3 linked regions of the Rattus norvegicus genome follow. The protein of the gene in region 1 interacts with the protein of each later gene in a biochemical or structural test. Links are inferred from orthologs where the notes say so. Each region holds a gene or a part of one and is shown on either strand. Other genes may lie near its edges.

The links. The genes of interacting proteins can lie anywhere in the genome.
Region 2: the proteins of Lox (region 1) and Efemp2 form a complex in vitro, tested with the Homo sapiens proteins (2 studies listed by IntAct, with this or other methods). The link is inferred for Rattus norvegicus from reciprocal best matches to the Homo sapiens genes LOX and EFEMP2.
Region 3: the proteins of Lox (region 1) and Eln form a complex in vitro, tested with the Homo sapiens proteins (2 studies listed by BioGRID and IntAct). The link is inferred for Rattus norvegicus from reciprocal best matches to the Homo sapiens genes LOX and ELN.

What each region holds. Positions count from the first base shown.
Region 1 is NC_086036.1:48,172,390-48,177,790, forward strand, and holds the start of Lox (protein-lysine 6-oxidase precursor), read right to left. Parts: upstream 3,252-5,401; 5' UTR 2,980-3,251; coding exon 2,367-2,979; intron 2,047-2,366; coding exon 1,938-2,046; intron 706-1,937; coding exon 568-705; intron 1-567. UniProt on the Homo sapiens protein: Responsible for the post-translational oxidative deamination of peptidyl lysine residues in precursors to fibrous collagen and elastin. Regulator of Ras expression. May play a role in tumor suppression. Plays a role in the aortic wall architecture.
Region 2 is NC_086019.1:212,209,554-212,214,967, reverse strand, and holds the start of Efemp2 (EGF-containing fibulin-like extracellular matrix protein 2 isoform 1 precursor), read right to left. Parts: upstream 3,247-5,414; 5' UTR 3,150-3,246; exon of another isoform or gene 2,920-3,149; coding exon of another isoform or gene 2,854-2,919; coding exon 2,743-2,853; intron 2,513-2,742; coding exon 2,464-2,512; intron 1,825-2,463; coding exon 1,618-1,824; intron 395-1,617; coding exon 272-394; intron 32-271; coding exon 1-31. UniProt on the Homo sapiens protein: Plays a crucial role in elastic fiber formation in tissue, and in the formation of ultrastructural connections between elastic laminae and smooth muscle cells in the aorta, therefore participates in terminal differentiation and maturation of smooth muscle cell (SMC) and in the mechanical properties and wall integrity maintenance of the aorta.
Region 3 is NC_086030.1:27,602,623-27,608,272, reverse strand, and holds the start of Eln (elastin precursor), read right to left. Parts: upstream 3,247-5,650; 5' UTR 3,242-3,246; coding exon 3,157-3,241; exon of another isoform or gene 3,089-3,156; intron 2,839-3,088; exon of another isoform or gene 1-2,838. UniProt on the Homo sapiens protein: Major structural protein of tissues such as aorta and nuchal ligament, which must expand rapidly and recover completely.

The DNA of each region.
Region 1 (5,401 bases):
CTTGTTCTTCTTGTGTGAGGGAGGAGCTACAAGGAGAATGGGTTTGAATTTCTGTAAGTGGGAGACCGCACATCATGATTTCCTGGTATTGACTACTTGAGTACATTACCTAGGCAAGTGATGGCATAACCACATGTAATTTAAAAATTAAAACCATTACATTTAGAAAGGGTAGGGCAGCCACTCTGGGGCTGATGCGGGCTTTTCAAAAGATAGATGTGAATTGGGTCCTGAAATCTATCTTTCATTGGACATGGTCTATAAATTCTTTAGGTAAAAGATGCCATGCTTTTATTAAATGCCTTTTAAGGCTAACCAACTGCAGATGATCTTGCCTATAGTGGATACTTTAACATAAGAGTAAATTCTATTGGCAGCCATTCTCTGTCCTTTCAATAGTTTTAACTATTGAGCGTGACTTACAGTTTCCGACTGAAAAGACAATGGGGATGGAATTTAGTGGTGAATGGGGCTATCTTAGGGTTTAACATTCTTAGCTTCAGGTATGACTAATCATCTGGAAAATTTAAGAGCATCCCAGAAGTACTGAGGTGCCCATCCACTTACTGGTGGCAGCTGTGCCACTCCCAGGAGTAGCGGGGGCGGCTTGGTAAGAAGTCAGACGTCCCTTGGTTTTTCACTCTCTGAGGAAATCGTAGCAGTACCCTGTGGTCATAGTCTCTGACATCCGCCCTATATGCTGAACTGTGAGTTTAGAGAAGAGCCATTAGATCCACTGAACATGGATGCAACACAAAATAGGAAGAACAGCTCGCTGTCACGTGTTCCTGGCATTCCCCTTCCCCAACTAGCCTCTTAAGTCAAGGAGCAGATCCTGAGCTCCAGTCCTGGAAGAATAAACACATCGCAACTATCTGGTGCATGAGTGAATGAAGGATAACAGTAAAAGCCCAGATAGACTGAGACTAAGATTTATCCTAAAAAGATTGTAGAGCAGAGACTCTGCATCTAAAAACTGTAAAATGGCTATAGTAATGACCCCATGCAAAAAAGATCCATAGGTGTCTATTAATTACTTGATGTGTCTATGATATAAAGTGGAGAAATATTCTAAAACAAGACACCTAGCTTTAGGTGGATAACTTTATACTGGACAACTACCAAACTGAGGGTGCTCCTTAGTATCTTTTCGGCATTCAGTGGTGTGTATCGTGCCATAAGGAACGCAAAAGAGCTTGAATTTCTCTCCTTGGCCCGACGGTAGTAAAAAAATCAACATGGAAGGTTCGTATAAACACCCCTGTACCATTACTATATTTTTATAGCTCTGTTAGTGACCCATTTTACTTAGCCAACTACCAGAACCATGCAAATAGCTTGTGCTCCCCCTGCTGGTGGCCAGCCGCAGAATCAGAGAATTCCAAGACCAGAATAGATATTTTATTTTAGGATTGACGGAAAACAAAACTATTGCCTGTGGTCTTATACCAAAACAACCCAGTTAATCACGGCCTGAAAGAAGTGTGGAATGTTTTTTTAACCAATCGAGGCGGGGGGCACCGTGTCGAATACACTTCTAGAGCATTAGAGAATAATAAGTGCTTCCTCCAACCCCCCCCAAACCCGATCCCCACTCCCGACACACACACTGTGTTGTTGAATTTCTGTTTTATATAAAGTTATTGGAGGTAGTTGGCGCTAATGCCTAATAGGTATCTTGGGAAAGACCCTGAGACCCAGTCTCCAGAATAAGGGTTTTCTTCCCCCTCCCCCTATTTGTGACTCTCACTGAGGCGGTACCCATAAAAACATTCCAAATTAACTCGCTCTCCAAGTCAGCATGCCCAGGAGGTCACGTCCCACTTCCCAGCCCTTGTCCCACTTCCTAGTCCTTGTCTGCGCTGAATAGCAGAACAAACTAGGCACCAGAGTGATCCCAGGATCAAAACCTGGAACCGGGCTGTGGAAACACATACCTGGCCAGGCAGTTTTCTTCCGCAGCGCATCTCAGGTTGTACATAGACATCTTTTGTACGTACGTGGATGCCTGGATGTAGTAGGGATCGGGTACCAGGTCCGGGAGACCTAAGGATAAGACAAGCTGATGACCTCTGACTCCTAGACCCTTTTTGTCACCTTTCGCCCTTCAAGTCTGCAGGGTGGGGCTGAGTATGTGGAAGAGCAGGGAAAATTGGGGCTAGGAAGGAAAGGGAAAAGGAAGCTGTTGGAGCCAGGAGCGCGGTTTCCATCAAATTCCAGCGCTGGCGGGGCAGGATTGGGGGCGGGGGTGGTGGTGTTGAGTCTGCGGGACCGGATCCCGCCGCCGCGCCCAGACCGCCACGTCTAGACAGCACTGACCTGTGGCCAGGGTGGCGGGTACCTACCGCGGACCTAGGGGTTCTTACCGTACTGGAAGTAACCGGTGCCATATCCAGGTCGGTGCCTGCTCCCGGACCGGGGTCTCTCATAAGTGTCATAGTAGTTATAATAGGGGTTGTCGTCGGAGTACTTGTAGGGATTGTAGGGGTCGTCGCCCACCATGCGATCTACGTGGCTGGGTGGCCTCAGATTACTGAGCTGCGGAGGCTGTGGCGACGCAGTCCGGTTCGCTGCGCGCCTTGAGGCTCCATCGCCGGCCCCCGACGGCGAGAAACCAACTTGGAACCAGTGGCGGGCTGCGGGCCGGGGACGACCCGCGGCGACCCCAGATGGGCTTGGAGTCCTCGCACGGGCAGAGGCAGTGCGGTTGTCACGCAGCAGCAGAATGGGCGTGCGTGGCTGTGCTGCAGCGTTGCCGTCGGCTCTCGGGGCAGTGGCGCTGGAGTCGCGGCGTCGCTGAGGCTGGTACTGCGCCCCCAGGCTCAACAGACTGAACACCTGCCCGTTGTTCTCCCATTGGATTGTCTGGCGCCAGGCACCGGGGGCGGCGGGAGGCTCGCGCGGGGCCTGCGGGGCGCAGCGGAGAAGGGGACAGAACTGCAGCTGTCCCAGAAAGAGCACGGTCCAGGCGAAACGCATGATGCTCCCGGCTCGTCCCTTCTCGGGGAGGGACGTGGCTAGGAGAAAAATGAAGACAGGGACTCAGATCCCGCGAAGGAGGGAGACCTCTTCGAGCAGGGAGGAGGAGGGCGAGGCTCGGGGATGGGTCGCAGGGACTGGTGCCAAGGGCGAGCGGCAGACCCTGCCCCCAGCCCAGGAGGCCGTCGGACGTGGCACCGTCCTCCTCTCCCCTTTCCCAGTCCTGGAAGGCGACGGGGAGCGGCGCACGACGGTCCGGGAGAGCGCACAGTGTCTGAAGTAGAAGGAGGAGAGAGTTTAAACTTTCTGACAAGTTTGCAGTTACACAAGCCGTTCTGGCCCCGCTGCCCCTCTGCTATTTGTTCGCGTAATGCGATTGGAAACGTGCAAGGCGGACAGCTCCACCACTCTGCCCCTCCCTCCCCTCCCCGCCCCCTCCCCTCCTCCCCAGACACGTTGCACAGGGAGAGTTAAGGGGAAAGAACAAAACGGAACACACATCCTGAGACACACTCGACTTAATCTGGGCCGAACATGCAGGAATTTCAAAAGACTCAGACAGACGAAGGCAGCCAGGCCATGGGCCCAAGCCAAAATATGCATGAAGAAAAATGCTATTAGGTCACCAGCCCTGGAGAGGCGGGAAGCAGGAGGTGGGGAGAGCGATGAGGGCCAAAATGTGTGCGTTGGGATGGGGGAGGTTGTGACTAACGCTTATCCATAAAGGAGTTAACCAGACAAATTTCCCAATGCACACTCACCCCACTTTTATGGGAAGCGCCCTCAGCGAATAAACCCCAGGATATCAAATTTTGTTTTTCTGGCTGTAGGTAATATGAGAAATGGGTTACAAATCTGTTTCCTACAGTGAATATTTTAATAACCAAAGTGAAAATTTACAGGGAACAAAGCTTGCTACGTTGAAAAAGTGAGTAAAGCCGACTCCCCCCCCCACCTCCTTTATTTTGTCTTAAAAGAATCAGTCCAATTTGCACTTTAAGTGACAAGAATTCTTTCATCCCTACTGTGTACCAGAGAGCTAGCAGGGCAAGGCAGTGCTTAGAGGCCCCTTCAAGTAGATTTTTTTAATCTGACTTCTTGCTTTCTCTTGTGTCTAATAAGGAGGTTTGACTTCACATTTTAAAATCAAATTACTGATGTTAAATATTGAAATTCAATAAAGCCTCCAGCCGCTTTTAATTCATCTTCCAATCTAAACAGAGGTGTTGCAAGAGAAAAAGCCTTTGAATTCAGGGTTTAGCACAAAGAAAGCAGTGGGTGTGGCCAGGAGGCTGAGTAGGAGGGTAATCTGCAACTGCCATGCTTACTAGAGCAGCTGCTCACATCCTACTCAGGGTCTGGGAGGTTCTGGACTGAATTCAAAGGAAAAAAATGCTACCAAGTGGTCTGATTAGACTCCGAGGCAACGCCAGATTTTAGTATCCTTTTTTTTTTTTCGGTTCCATCATTGAGCTGCGGTCTAGACACACTTAATACTCACCTCAGGGACTCTGTCTTTCCATAAATGATCATCCCATGAGGTGGGGAGGTGGACATCTGTTGGTTTGACTGCCTCCCACCAATATCCTATATCCATTTCCCTTTTCTTTCTGTTTTTATATTTTTTAAAATTCTGCCTGGACCGCCTCAGACCCCTACTAGTATGGTCAGACTGAAAGGGCATTTGTGGGATTTCTTCACTTCAAGAACTGGCTGTGAGACCTGGGTTTGCCCTAATTAAATTGTCTTCCTAGGATCTGAATGTTAAGGTGGTCACACGGTCAAAACTATTCCTCCTCCCACTGCTAGAAAAAGAGACAAGTCTTGGGTCTTTAGCTTTTCCTCCAGACTTTCCTAGTGCATTCTTTTGTGGATTAACATTGTCAGCTTCTGTCTTCTGCCACTGAAGAATCCTGCTTGACGCTGAGGAGGCTGGGTGCTTCTCTCAGCTAAGTTAAATCACATGGCAGCGAGTCCAGGGCAAGGAGCCTGGCTTTGGGCTCAAGTTTGATGGAGTCCTCACATGACCCCATACCTTCCTTGATACAGAATTTTGCCCACATGTGGCAAATCTACTGCTTATATGATGAAGATAAATTTTAAGAACAAATTCCCTCATGCAAGCCAACAGTGAATTATTTTCTGAACAAAGCTATGTCTAAGATAACACTAGTTGTCATTTTACTGGATATCTTCAAGGCTTACAATTAACTACTGGATTTCTCTAGACCAGGTAAGGGAGCTAGAGTTTTAAAAAAAGAAAAAAGCAGATGTATATAATTTTGATAGACAAAAGAAATATAAGGAGACATGGGAAGAGACTAATTATAATTATCTCTCATCTGAAACAGGCCCTACATCTGCCCATGACAGTTTCTCTCCAGAAGGGAATGGCCGGGGTGGTTATTACTTGACCACATGT
Region 2 (5,414 bases), on another chromosome or scaffold:
TGGCAGTAGCGGTAGCGACACTCATCTATGTCTGAGATGGGAGGCAGGAGACGGAAAGTAGAACACAAGCTAGGTGGGGCCTGAGCCAGCTCACCTCAGCACCCACGTTCACCCCTGCCTTTGTCGGGGAGCTGAGTTGAGTCGCCCACATGTCTAGTGGGTCTGGTGACAGGAGTGCACCAGCAGCAGAGGGCTGGGGTGACGTAAGGTATTAGATCAAGAAGCAGACCAAGGTCACAGAGCAGGAACTTAGGAAAGCCACCGAACTCACCTACACATTCGGGCCCAATTTTTCGGTAACCATCGGGGCAGGTGCACTGATAGGAGCCAGGAAGGTTATGGCAGTCCTGGCTAGGGCGACAGTCATGTATAGCCTGGGTACACTCATCCACATCTGTGGGAGACACCATTCAGCCTTTGCCTGGAGTCCCCCATATGCTAAGGACCGTGTGAGGAGGGGGCCCATGCACATGGGTAGTTGGCATCAAATCATGAACATTTAATTGAGATCATCCCAATAGTCCAAAAAAGAGTCCACCAAGGAATTACCAGGAAAAGTACCCATTAGGAGAACATACTAAAATAGGGTCTTGTGGGAACTGGTGGCACACACCTTCAATTCCACCACTGCGGGGGAAGAGAGGCAAGAGGACCTCTGTGAGTGCCAAGCTAGTTGTAGCTAGGGCTACAGAGTGAGACACTGTCTTAAAAATAAATACATAAGTAAACAGACAAATAAAGCCCTGTCCATTTATACCCCGCAGCTGACTGCAGGGCCAGGATCTCTCCTCCTCCCAGACCTGACTCCAGATCAAAAAGCTGGCAGAGGCTGGGAGCAGAGCTCTCACATGTCTGTCCAGGAACTGAGGCTGCTAGGGACATCCTGGGCCTGCAGACCATGCACTGAGCCTGCAGTAGATGAAAACTTGGATATTTCTCTGAGCAGCCAGACGGAAGGAGCATGAGGTCTGGGGTATTAAATAGGGAAAATTACTTTATTATTTTGTTAATTAATTGTTTTGAGGTAAGATCTCGGGCAGCCTCAGGTGGTCCTCAAAAGTTCTTACGCAGCTGAGGATAACCTGTACTTTCGGATCTTTTTGCTCTCTCCCCACTGGTGGGTTACAGGTGTGCGCTACCACACTTGTTTTTTGTGTTTTTTTTGTGGTGCCAGGAATCAAATCCAGAAACGATCTCAAAACCCAAAGTACATAGCTGGATGGTGGGGTACAGAGGCAGGTGGATCTCTGAGTCTGAGTTCTAGGATGGCCAAGGCTACACAGAGAAACCCTCTCTCAAAAATCAAAAACAAAGAAACAAACTAAGGAGGACTAAAATAACTCTACTGGAGGATTAAAAGAAACAAGAATGATATATGCCGAGATGGCACCATGATAAAACACATTACTTTGAACAGTAAATACAAAGTTAGTGTTTTTTTCTATTCTTTTTTTTTTTTTTTTTTTTTTTTGGAAGCTGGGGATCGAACCCAGGGCCTTGAGCTTGCTAGGCAAGCGCTCTACACTGAGCCAAATCCCCAACCCCCAAAGTTAGTTTTTTTTAAAAAAAGTTTATAAAAGGCCTGGAAGCCTAGGTGCCAGCATGGCCCCCACTTACCCACACAGCTCTCCTGTTCATCAGGTTCATAGCCCGGAGGGCAAGGATTTGGGTGTTGAGCAGAGGCTGCTGGTGGTGGAGGTCCTTCACTGTGGAGATCACTGATGACGGCAGCAGAGCGAGGCAGACACAAATAGCCCCCGTAGTGGTTGATGCATTTCATTTCACCCTTGCAAGCCTCGGGGATGGTCAGGCACTCATTGACATCTGCAGAGAGGGGCCTGCTGGGCACAGCCAGTCACCTGGGCTGGCCCTGGAGGTAGTGGGAGGCAGAAGCCCAACTTGGCCTTCTCTAAACTGAGCAACACAGCAAGGCTTTCTCTCTGCTCAGCAAAGGCTGCCGACCCAGAACCCCTCCCAGGCATTTGCAGGACTGGGTGTGTGGCCCCCTATTTCACACTGTTACCCCCATTCTCCTGCCTCCATGTGAGTTTCCGTTTCTCTTCAAATCCCTGCCTCTACCTTTGCCCAAGAGTAATTTGCAGGCCTCCTGACCCACAGAGCTTGTACTGCCCTCCCAGGGTGCACTGGGATAGAGCTGGGCTGGGAGAGTGCAGTGCAGTTCAGGGAAGGTGTACGTATTTCCTTCTTTCTGGGCAATAGCCAGGTGCTCTCTTGCCTCCTGCAGGACAGAGGCAGAGTTTGTTCACCCTCTTGAAGGGGTAGGGCTCCTAATTGAGTGGCACAAGAGAAGCATGGCTGCCTACCAGATGGCTGGCTACCAGGGTGGACAGTGGGAAGGCCATCAAGTTCCTGCTGCAGCTCTGGGAGATAAGGTGTCCCTGGGAAACAGAAGTAATCCCCTTCCCAGTTCCTGAAGATGGCTAGTACCCCAGACATACTCACCCCGGCAATGCTGGCTGTCTGCATCCCACTCATAGCCATCTGTGCATTCCTGGAAGGGAACCCGATGTGGCCAGTGACCACCCTGGCTGTCTCCTCCAACTAGCCAGGCCAAGACCAGGGCTTGAGCTCAGTCATGCTCAGGTCAGCTCCACACAATGGCCTCCAGCTTTCCACCAACCAAGCAGGGGAGAATCATTCCCAGAAGCAGCCTCCCCAGGATCCTGCCTCACTCGCTGTCCTTCCCATCCCATCCCAAGCTGGTGACCCCAAGGTCCCCACCGTGTAGCTGTCCGGCTCTTCGGAATCCTGTGGGGACGCTGCTCCCAAGAGCAACAGCAGAAACGCCCAGAGCAGTAAAGACCCGGGGAGGCAGGAGGCAAATGGGAGCATCCTGGGGCTGAGAGGGGGTGGGCAGAAGTCAGGGGTTTCTGCCACGACACCCCCCATTCCCTCCATCTGGAAGGGGAGGCTGGGTCCCAGCTATCTCGTCCCAGGACTGTTCTGGGAGCACCGAAACCTTCCAGGGCTGGGGACCGAGTCCCTTCGCAGGCCTGGGGCTCAGGGCCGCAATCTTGGACCGCCCCGCCCCCGCCCCACGAGTCATGAAGCGCAGGCCTCTCCGCTCCGCGCAGCATATACTCGGCCGCAACACGGCCCGCGCCCTCCCTCCGCTGGAGGCCACTCACGCGTTGACTCCAGCAGTGCCTGCGGGCGGACGGACGGACCGCGCAGCTCACTGGACGCGCGGCCCCAGGAAGCGCCCCCCGCCCGCCCGCCGCGGCCCACCCCGGCGCCTCCGCCCGCCCTTCGGCGGATTCCTGAGCCCGCGCCAGGGGGAGGGACCCCGACCCCCCGGCTTCTCCGCCCCGGCCGGCCACAGGCCCCCACCCGGTCCCCCGCGGCGCTGCCTGGAGTCGCCTGTGGACGCCTAGTCAGTTTCCCAATGTTTGGGTCCTTAGACCATTGACCTTGATGCTTGGCACCCAAACTCACCTGGGGACCCCAGGCCCTCACTCAAAATGATTATTCTGTCCACCTAAACCCTATCTAACCTGTGCCTCCGGAATCCCTCTGTGCACTCGCACCTCCGTGTAACCGGATTCTGCGCTTCCCAGAACCTAACAAACATTTATTTAATCCTCAGATCTCCAAATGCTACCACTTTCAGGATTTTATCCAGTGTTACACTCTTAGATGGTCCTAAAACTTCATCCAAGGTTTCCTGATCCTCGTCCAGGCATACAATTAATTGTCCAATTCCCTCTGTATCCACCTCCACCACCCCCAGGTGGTCTCTTTACTCAGGGCACTGCTTCCCCAAGCCCTGCCTGCGCAACGCTACAATAGTATGGGGGCGAGGGCAGCAGTAGTCTTGGCCCGAAATGAATGGAAGCCCCTGAGAAGGCGGGCAAGCTTGAACTTGGTCGCGGAGGACACTAGGGCCCAGTGCCAGCCCTTTCCCGACCCTCTTCCCATCCAAGTCCCCCACCCAGTTTCCGCCTCCGCCCCCAGCGGAGATCATGCCTTGGAGGCGGAGTCTGGGTGCCTCTGGCGCCCAGGAAGGGGTAAATGGGCGGGACTTCGCGTTGCCCACGTCTCAGGGCGGGTCTAGACGGGAAAGGGTTGCGTGTCCAGGGCTCCCGTGCTTGGCCCAGACCGCTAGCGGCAATAACCCGGCCTTCCTTCCTTCCTTTCCCTTTCCCAACCTCTTTCCATCTTTTTTTGTTTGTTTTTGTTTTGTCTTTTTGCGACAGAGTCTCAAACTGTAGCTCTGACTGTTCTGAAACTCACTAAGTAGATGAGGCTTCGAACTCACAAAGATCTGCCTGTCTCTGCCTCCTAGGTTCTGGGATGAAAGGCGTGCACTACCATGTTCCGCTCTGCTGTGACGGAAATAAAAATTCTGCTTCATTTCATTTAATTGTCTGAGTGGTAATGTGTGTGGTATGTGCGTGTGTGCCTATGTACTAATGGAGACTATCGCTCTCCACCCTAAGACAGTGTTTGTCAAAAAAAAAAAAAAAAAAAAAAAAAAAAAGACAGGGTTTGTCACTGAGTCTGGAACTTACTATTTTAGATAGATTGGTTGGCTGGCTAGTGTGCTCTCAGTCCCCACCTCCCTGACCCTCTAGGGGTTACAGACATGCATCACCACTACAGCTGGTCTTTATGGTAGAGCTGGGGATCAGAACCCAGACCCTCATGCTGTGTAGCAAGCATTTTACCCAGTAAGCCATCTCCTCAACTTCCATTATCTTGATTAGAAAATTTGTATTGGGGTTGGGGATTTAGCTCAGTGGTAGAGCGCTTTAGCAAGCGCAAAGCCCTGGGTTCAGTCCTCAGCTCTGGAAAAAAAAATTTTTTTTATTAACTTTTAAAGATGCATATGTGTGTGCATCTGTGTAGAGGTATGTACACCCGAGTGCAGGTGTGCACAGAGTGTGGATCTGGAGTTACAGGAAGTTGTTAGCTGCCTGACGTGGGAACCAATCTCAGGTCGTCTGGAAGAGGAATACTAGAGTCATTTCTACAACACTGACTTTTTTTTTTTTAAACAATAAAGGGTTAGGGGTGTAGCTCAGTAGCATCCTGCTTGCTTGGCATTACCAAGATCCAAAGTTTAATCCCAGTAACTCCTGACACACTAGAGTGTCTGTACATGAGTGTGTGTATGTGTGAATGTACGTGACTGTATGTGAATGTATGTGTATGACTGTGTGAATGTATGTGTGAGTGTGTAAATGTGTGTAAATATGTGTGAATGTCTGTATATGTGTGAAAGTATGTAAGTGTGTGAAAATGTATGAGTGTGCATGAGTGTGAATGTGTGTTGGAATTCTGATGTAGAACAAAGCCCACAGAGGCAAAAAAAAGTATGGGGAGCAGATGAAGTCCTGAGCAAACATGGATCCCATTAATATAGGACCCAACCACTCGGACCTGTGGGAAGG
Region 3 (5,650 bases), on another chromosome or scaffold:
CAGCCAGGGAAACCAGAGTCAGCCGGATGAGGCGCCTTAGCCTGGTATCTACATTTGACCTTGGATTTGCTGCCAGGAGGTTCAAAGACCACAGGGAGCGGGGCCAACGGGCCCTGGCAGGGGGCTCTGCCAAGCCAGAGCTCAGAGGGGCAGCCTGGATTGAGCAGATAAAACCTCACCGAGCTGTTTGTTGCGTGCACAGAGCAGACCGCCAGGCGCTTTTCAAAAGCCACCGCGCTCCTGTGTGTGGGTGAACTGTCCCTTGCTCCAGCAAGACACACAGAGCAGGATCAAGGGACTAAATCCTTGGCTGTGCATCAGAGGCACCTGGGGAGCTGTTAGAGCCCAACTCCCTCAATCGAGATCCTCCACAGATCAAATAAAGGAAAACCTCGTGGGTCACACACTGACCCGGGCAACCGTCATGCCCATCAGGGTGGAAATCTCCTGAGATAAACCTTCAGGGAATGAACCAGGGGAGGGATATTGAAAACATTTCTGGTGTCAGGGAGAGCACTGAACTTTTATGTCTAATGTGCCCCTCCCTTAACGCTATTTTCGAAGAAGGGGGTTCATGTAGCCCAGGCTAGCCTATAATTCACTACATAGATGATACCTTAAACTCCTGATCCTCCTGTCTCTACACCTCCAAAATGCTAAGATAGGCAAAAGACAGGCATGCTGTCATGCCTGATTTTTTTTTCTTCTGGTGACCTTTTACTTTATTTTGGTTTGAGGGTGGGTGGGTGGGTGGGCATAGAGTCCCATTACATAGCAGAGGCTGCCTTGGAACTCACTCTGTAGCATAATTCCTGAGCCGTCATGCCTACCTAGCTCATATAACCCTTTTAACATAGGGGCTGAAGCAAGCCCGAATTCAAAGGAAATGCTATTATTACCCTCATCAGAGTCAAGAAACGGTTACCTGTGACATGTTCCTCTTGGGGAAGACTAGGCTCCCCTAGGACCAGATAGGTGGGGGACTAGGTATACATGACCAGTGGCCAACTCCTCCCAAAACTCTGACCTCTTTGACTTCAGCAGACTCTGAACAGATCTTGAAAGACATCAATTCGCTTGCCTCCTACTTGAACCCGGTGACTCTGGCCACCTGGGACAGAGCTGAGATTTCTCTTCACAGGGAATGATGGCAGTTGAATATGGAGTGATATCACCCAGGCTACACGGGGAGGGGTTGTTCCATCTTTTAAGAAAGACTCCGCCCCAGGGCTGTCTCTCCCCAATATTCCCTGGCATCTCCCCTACTCCATTTTTTTTTTTTTTTGGACCCAGGGTAGAAAGCCAGCTGATATCAACCTCCACGGATGGCCTTAGCCTATCTCAGGCTCTATTTCTGTACCTTTTAAGAAAGGGGCTCGTGAAGCCCAGGCTAGCCTCGGAACTCCCTATACAGCTAAGCATGACCTCAAATTCCTGACTTCTTTGCTCCCATCTCCTGAGAGCCGGGACCACAGGTGTGAGCCACTGCCTCTGGTTTATGTGGTGCTAGGGATGGAATACGGAACTCCGAGCACGCTAGAGGAGTACTGTATTAGCCAAGCCAAATCTTCTTGTAGATCTCACTCTATAGCTTAGGCTGCCCCTCCAACTTGATAGCATGGTCCATCAGGTGTGGCTTTTCATGCCTGGCTTCAGCCTATTTGTAAAGACGAACAGTTTCTTTATGTTGAAGGAGTGTAACCATCTGGGGAGGAGGGTGCACAGATGTCAGGAGACACATCTGGGGCGGGAGGGTCAGGTGACACTGCTCTTAACTACTGGCTTGCGGCCACTGCAGGGTCCTTCTGCTGCTACCCACAACCCTCAGTCTTGTCTGAGCCCAGGAACTCTTGTCCTACAGTGGGCTTCGAGCCCCAGCAGAGGCTCTTCCCTCCCATTCAGCCTCGGACCACAGCCCTGTCCCGCCGCCCGCCCTGCAGCTCCAGTCCCCAGTTCAAGTTCAGGTTCCCACGACAATGAGGTCTCTTACGGAAACCAGACCCCAGCAGATGGTTCACAGGCTCACACATCTTTCCCCACAGCCGGATGCACCTTCCGTCTGGGAGCAGTCTCCTTCCTCCCCCATAACCTAATGTGCCTGGTCAGGACACATATCAGATGGCCAAAACGATAACTTGAGGCTCAGTGTAGCCTCTGATACCCGCCATGCCCTGTTTGTCAGGAGATGGGCACTTTCCCCAGCTCACTCCCTGGCCTGTATTCCACCTTGGCAATCCCTCGTACAGGCATGGACTCGCACATGCTCACACACACCTGGGCACCAACACACACAGTGACATCCTACACCTGGGCCCCAGATTTCTTCAGGATTTTTTTTTTTTTTGAGATAGCCTGATGTAGCCCAAATGGCCTCGAACTCACTACGCAGCCAACGATGCCTTGAATTCCTGATCATCCGATGACCATTACACAGGTATGCGTCACCACGCCCACCTAGTTTGCTCAGAGGCTCAAGAATGTTTAGCATGCCCTCCATCAACGGAGACATCCTCCCTCAACTCTCTTAGTTGTTCTTGAGATGGGGTCTGGTTGGCTTTAAACTTACATGCTGGGGCTCACAGGTGTGATCCCATCAGACAACTTCACAGTTGCCTCCCTCCACCACCATCTGTCTAGGAATGGACTTGTGAACAGACCTTCAAACCTTTCCAGACACTCTTCTTTCAGGAACATCCTTGGCCAGAAGCTCACATTGACACCTTGCAACATGATCTGAAACACACACACACACACACACACACACACACACACACACACACACACGGAATCCCACCATCTCCAAGCAAAGACAAACCAAGATTGTCTCTCCACAGGCTGGTAGGTACACAGGTGTGCACAGGTGTGCAAACTGCCACCACCACTGGGAAAGCACTCAGGTGACTCAGACGACCAGCCTGACTGGCGGAGTGTAGCTTTGACAGGACCCCTAACACGGAGCTGGCTCCCAAGAGGAGACAGTTCCCAGGACCCTCCCTGCCTTGAAGAGGGCGGCGGGTGGGGGGAATCTGGAGGCGAAGGGCTCATCGATCTCTGGGATTCCCCATCAGTCTTGCCACCTGGTCGGCAGGGTCCCGAAGGTTGTGGATAGCGTGGGACCAGCGAGGGGCAGCATGGGACCGGCGAGGGGCCCCTTACCTCCAGGCTGCGCGGGATGGAGGAGGTTGAGCAAGAGGATCAGCAAGACGCCAGGCTGCGGGACTGCCGCTGTCAGACCCGCCATCTCGGGGAGGACTGCCCCAGCCTGCTCTCTGCGCCTCGTTTTATCCCCAAAGCGTAATTGCTGCCTGGTAGGCTGCTGTGAGGGAAGGAGGGAGGGAGAGAGGGCGGGTGGGAGGAGGGCGGGAGGAGGGGGAGCTGGGGGAGGGGGCCGCGAGGGAGGGGGCAATTACGAAAGGCCAGGCTCGCAAGCCTCCTAGCCTGAATCTGCCTGGACCATGGGTCTATTTTCCTGCACCCCCCCCCCCCACACACACACTGACGGGCGCGCGTGCACTGCTTTCCCCCCCCATTGCTTTCCCGCTTTCCCTCTGTAGCTGTTTGCTTGCTCCTGGCCCTGTTCCCGCCAGAAAGTGCGAGGGGGCCTTTGCCAGGACAGCCCTCTGGAGAGGAAGCAGGAGGGAGGGCCCAGGCAGTCCAGCCAAAAAATCCCAGCCCTAGCCAAGGCTGGAGTAGCCAGGTCCCCGCCCCTCAGCCTGGGCCCCAGGCCCAGTGTGGGGACACAGGCCAGCTGTCCCGCGCCTCAGCTCCCACCCTGGCCTGCAGACACCCCGACACCCCCAAGCCTGGCTAGAGACAGACTAACCAAAACTGGGTTGGGTAGGTTGATGGAGCTAAGGGAGCCTGCCTATAGAGTTCAAGATCTGCAGGCAAAATTGTCTGGGAGAAAAAAATCGGATGGGCATAGCATCATGGGGCATTTTAGGGACAGACTAAGGACCTTGACATACGATCTAGTTCATTGCGGTTGAGACCAGGTCTTAGCCATCTGTTTGAAGCCAGGGAAAGGGTGTTGGATAAGTCTAGGGTCTATGGTTGCAGAGACCAAGGGGCTGAGGTCAAGCGAGTGGCTTGGGAGTGAAAGCCATGTATTTAGTGTCTCCCTAGGGCTCAAAGATGATCCTTGCATAAGGTGTTGGTTGATTCTGTACGGGCCAACGGGCACAGCTTTGCACCACCCCTGAGCAAACCACGGTGTCCAACGGAGGTCATACTGGGTCCTAGGTGCCTGGTAGGGAACACGGAGGTGGGATCCCTGTCTATTAACTCAGTATTCTAGTTCACCACCTGTCCAATGCTCTCACATCTGGAAACCGATTTTCCCGGCGGCTCTGGGAAGGCTTGAGGATGCTATTCCTCTGCTGGCCAGCAGGGGGCAGCCTTTGCTGAACCAGCAGAGACAGCCCTCCAGGAAAGCTTGCAATCAGTGCCCTGGCCACCCTGTCCCTGAGCATATGGGGACCCTGGGAGGCTCTAGGGAATGTGATAGGGTGGGAAGATTATGTCATTCTCAGACTCCTGCATGTATGCAAGAAATGTGGGGTACTGGAGGACAGGAGAGGGAGATGGTTGTTTGCTGTATACAGGTCATAGTTGGTTAGAGGAAAAAGTCGAGGCCATAGGTCCTGGAGCTTTTCTCCTGCAGGAGGTGATACAGAGGGGTGAGTTAAAGATGTCTTGTCCAGTACAGGGCGTAGAGGAGTCTATAAAGTTGACAGTGTTGGCCGGGTTGGGGATGGGGTGGGAGAGCAAAGGCTGGTGGCTTAGGTAGAGCCTGGCTAATTTTTGGATACCCTGTGTCTTTTCCTCCTCCTCTTCTTCCTCCTCCTCCTCATCCTCTTCTCATCCTCTTCCTCCTCCTCCTCCCCCTCTTCCTCCTCCTCTTCTTCCTTCTCCTCTTCCTCTTCCTCCTCCTCCTTGTTATCCTCCTTCTCCCCCTTCTCTCTCCTTCCCATCCTCTTTCATTTCCTCTCTCCTTCCATTTATTTCTTCCCTCATAATTCCTTCTATTCTTTCCTTTCTCCCCTTCCTGTCTTTCTCTTCATTCCTTCCCCCTTTTCTTCCTTCCTTTCCCCTTCTGTCTCCTTTCCCCTCCTTTCCTCTCTTTCTTTCTTCTTCCCTCCCCTCCTGTCCCTTCTTCCCTCCTCCCTTTCTTCCAACATGGTCACAGTCTTACCATATAACCCAGGCTTGCCTTGGACTCCAGATTCTCCTGCTTCAGCCTCCTGAATATTGGGATGATCGTGTACCTCTGCGCCTAGCTAGTTCCAGCACTTTCTGTTGTCTGGGACAACTTCTCTGTAGGGTAGGCTTGTCTCATCCGTCAGCTGATGCCAACCATACCTTAACCAGAAAGATGAGCACAAAGACAAAGAAAGCTTGGGCACACATTTCTGCCCCAGGCCCAGCAGTGCTCTGTATCCACTTGGTACCAACAGTACCATGGCTGAAGCTGGTTCTACAATCTCTGCTCCTGTTTGTGGTGTAGCTGGCTCAACTGAGTCTCTACTGTGTCAGTCTGAGATCTTAGGCAATCTCTCCCCATCCCATGATCTACCACCCAAGACATCACCAGAATTTTGGAAAAGGGAGACACCATAGGAGGATCATCTCAAAGCTGGCCACATCACGC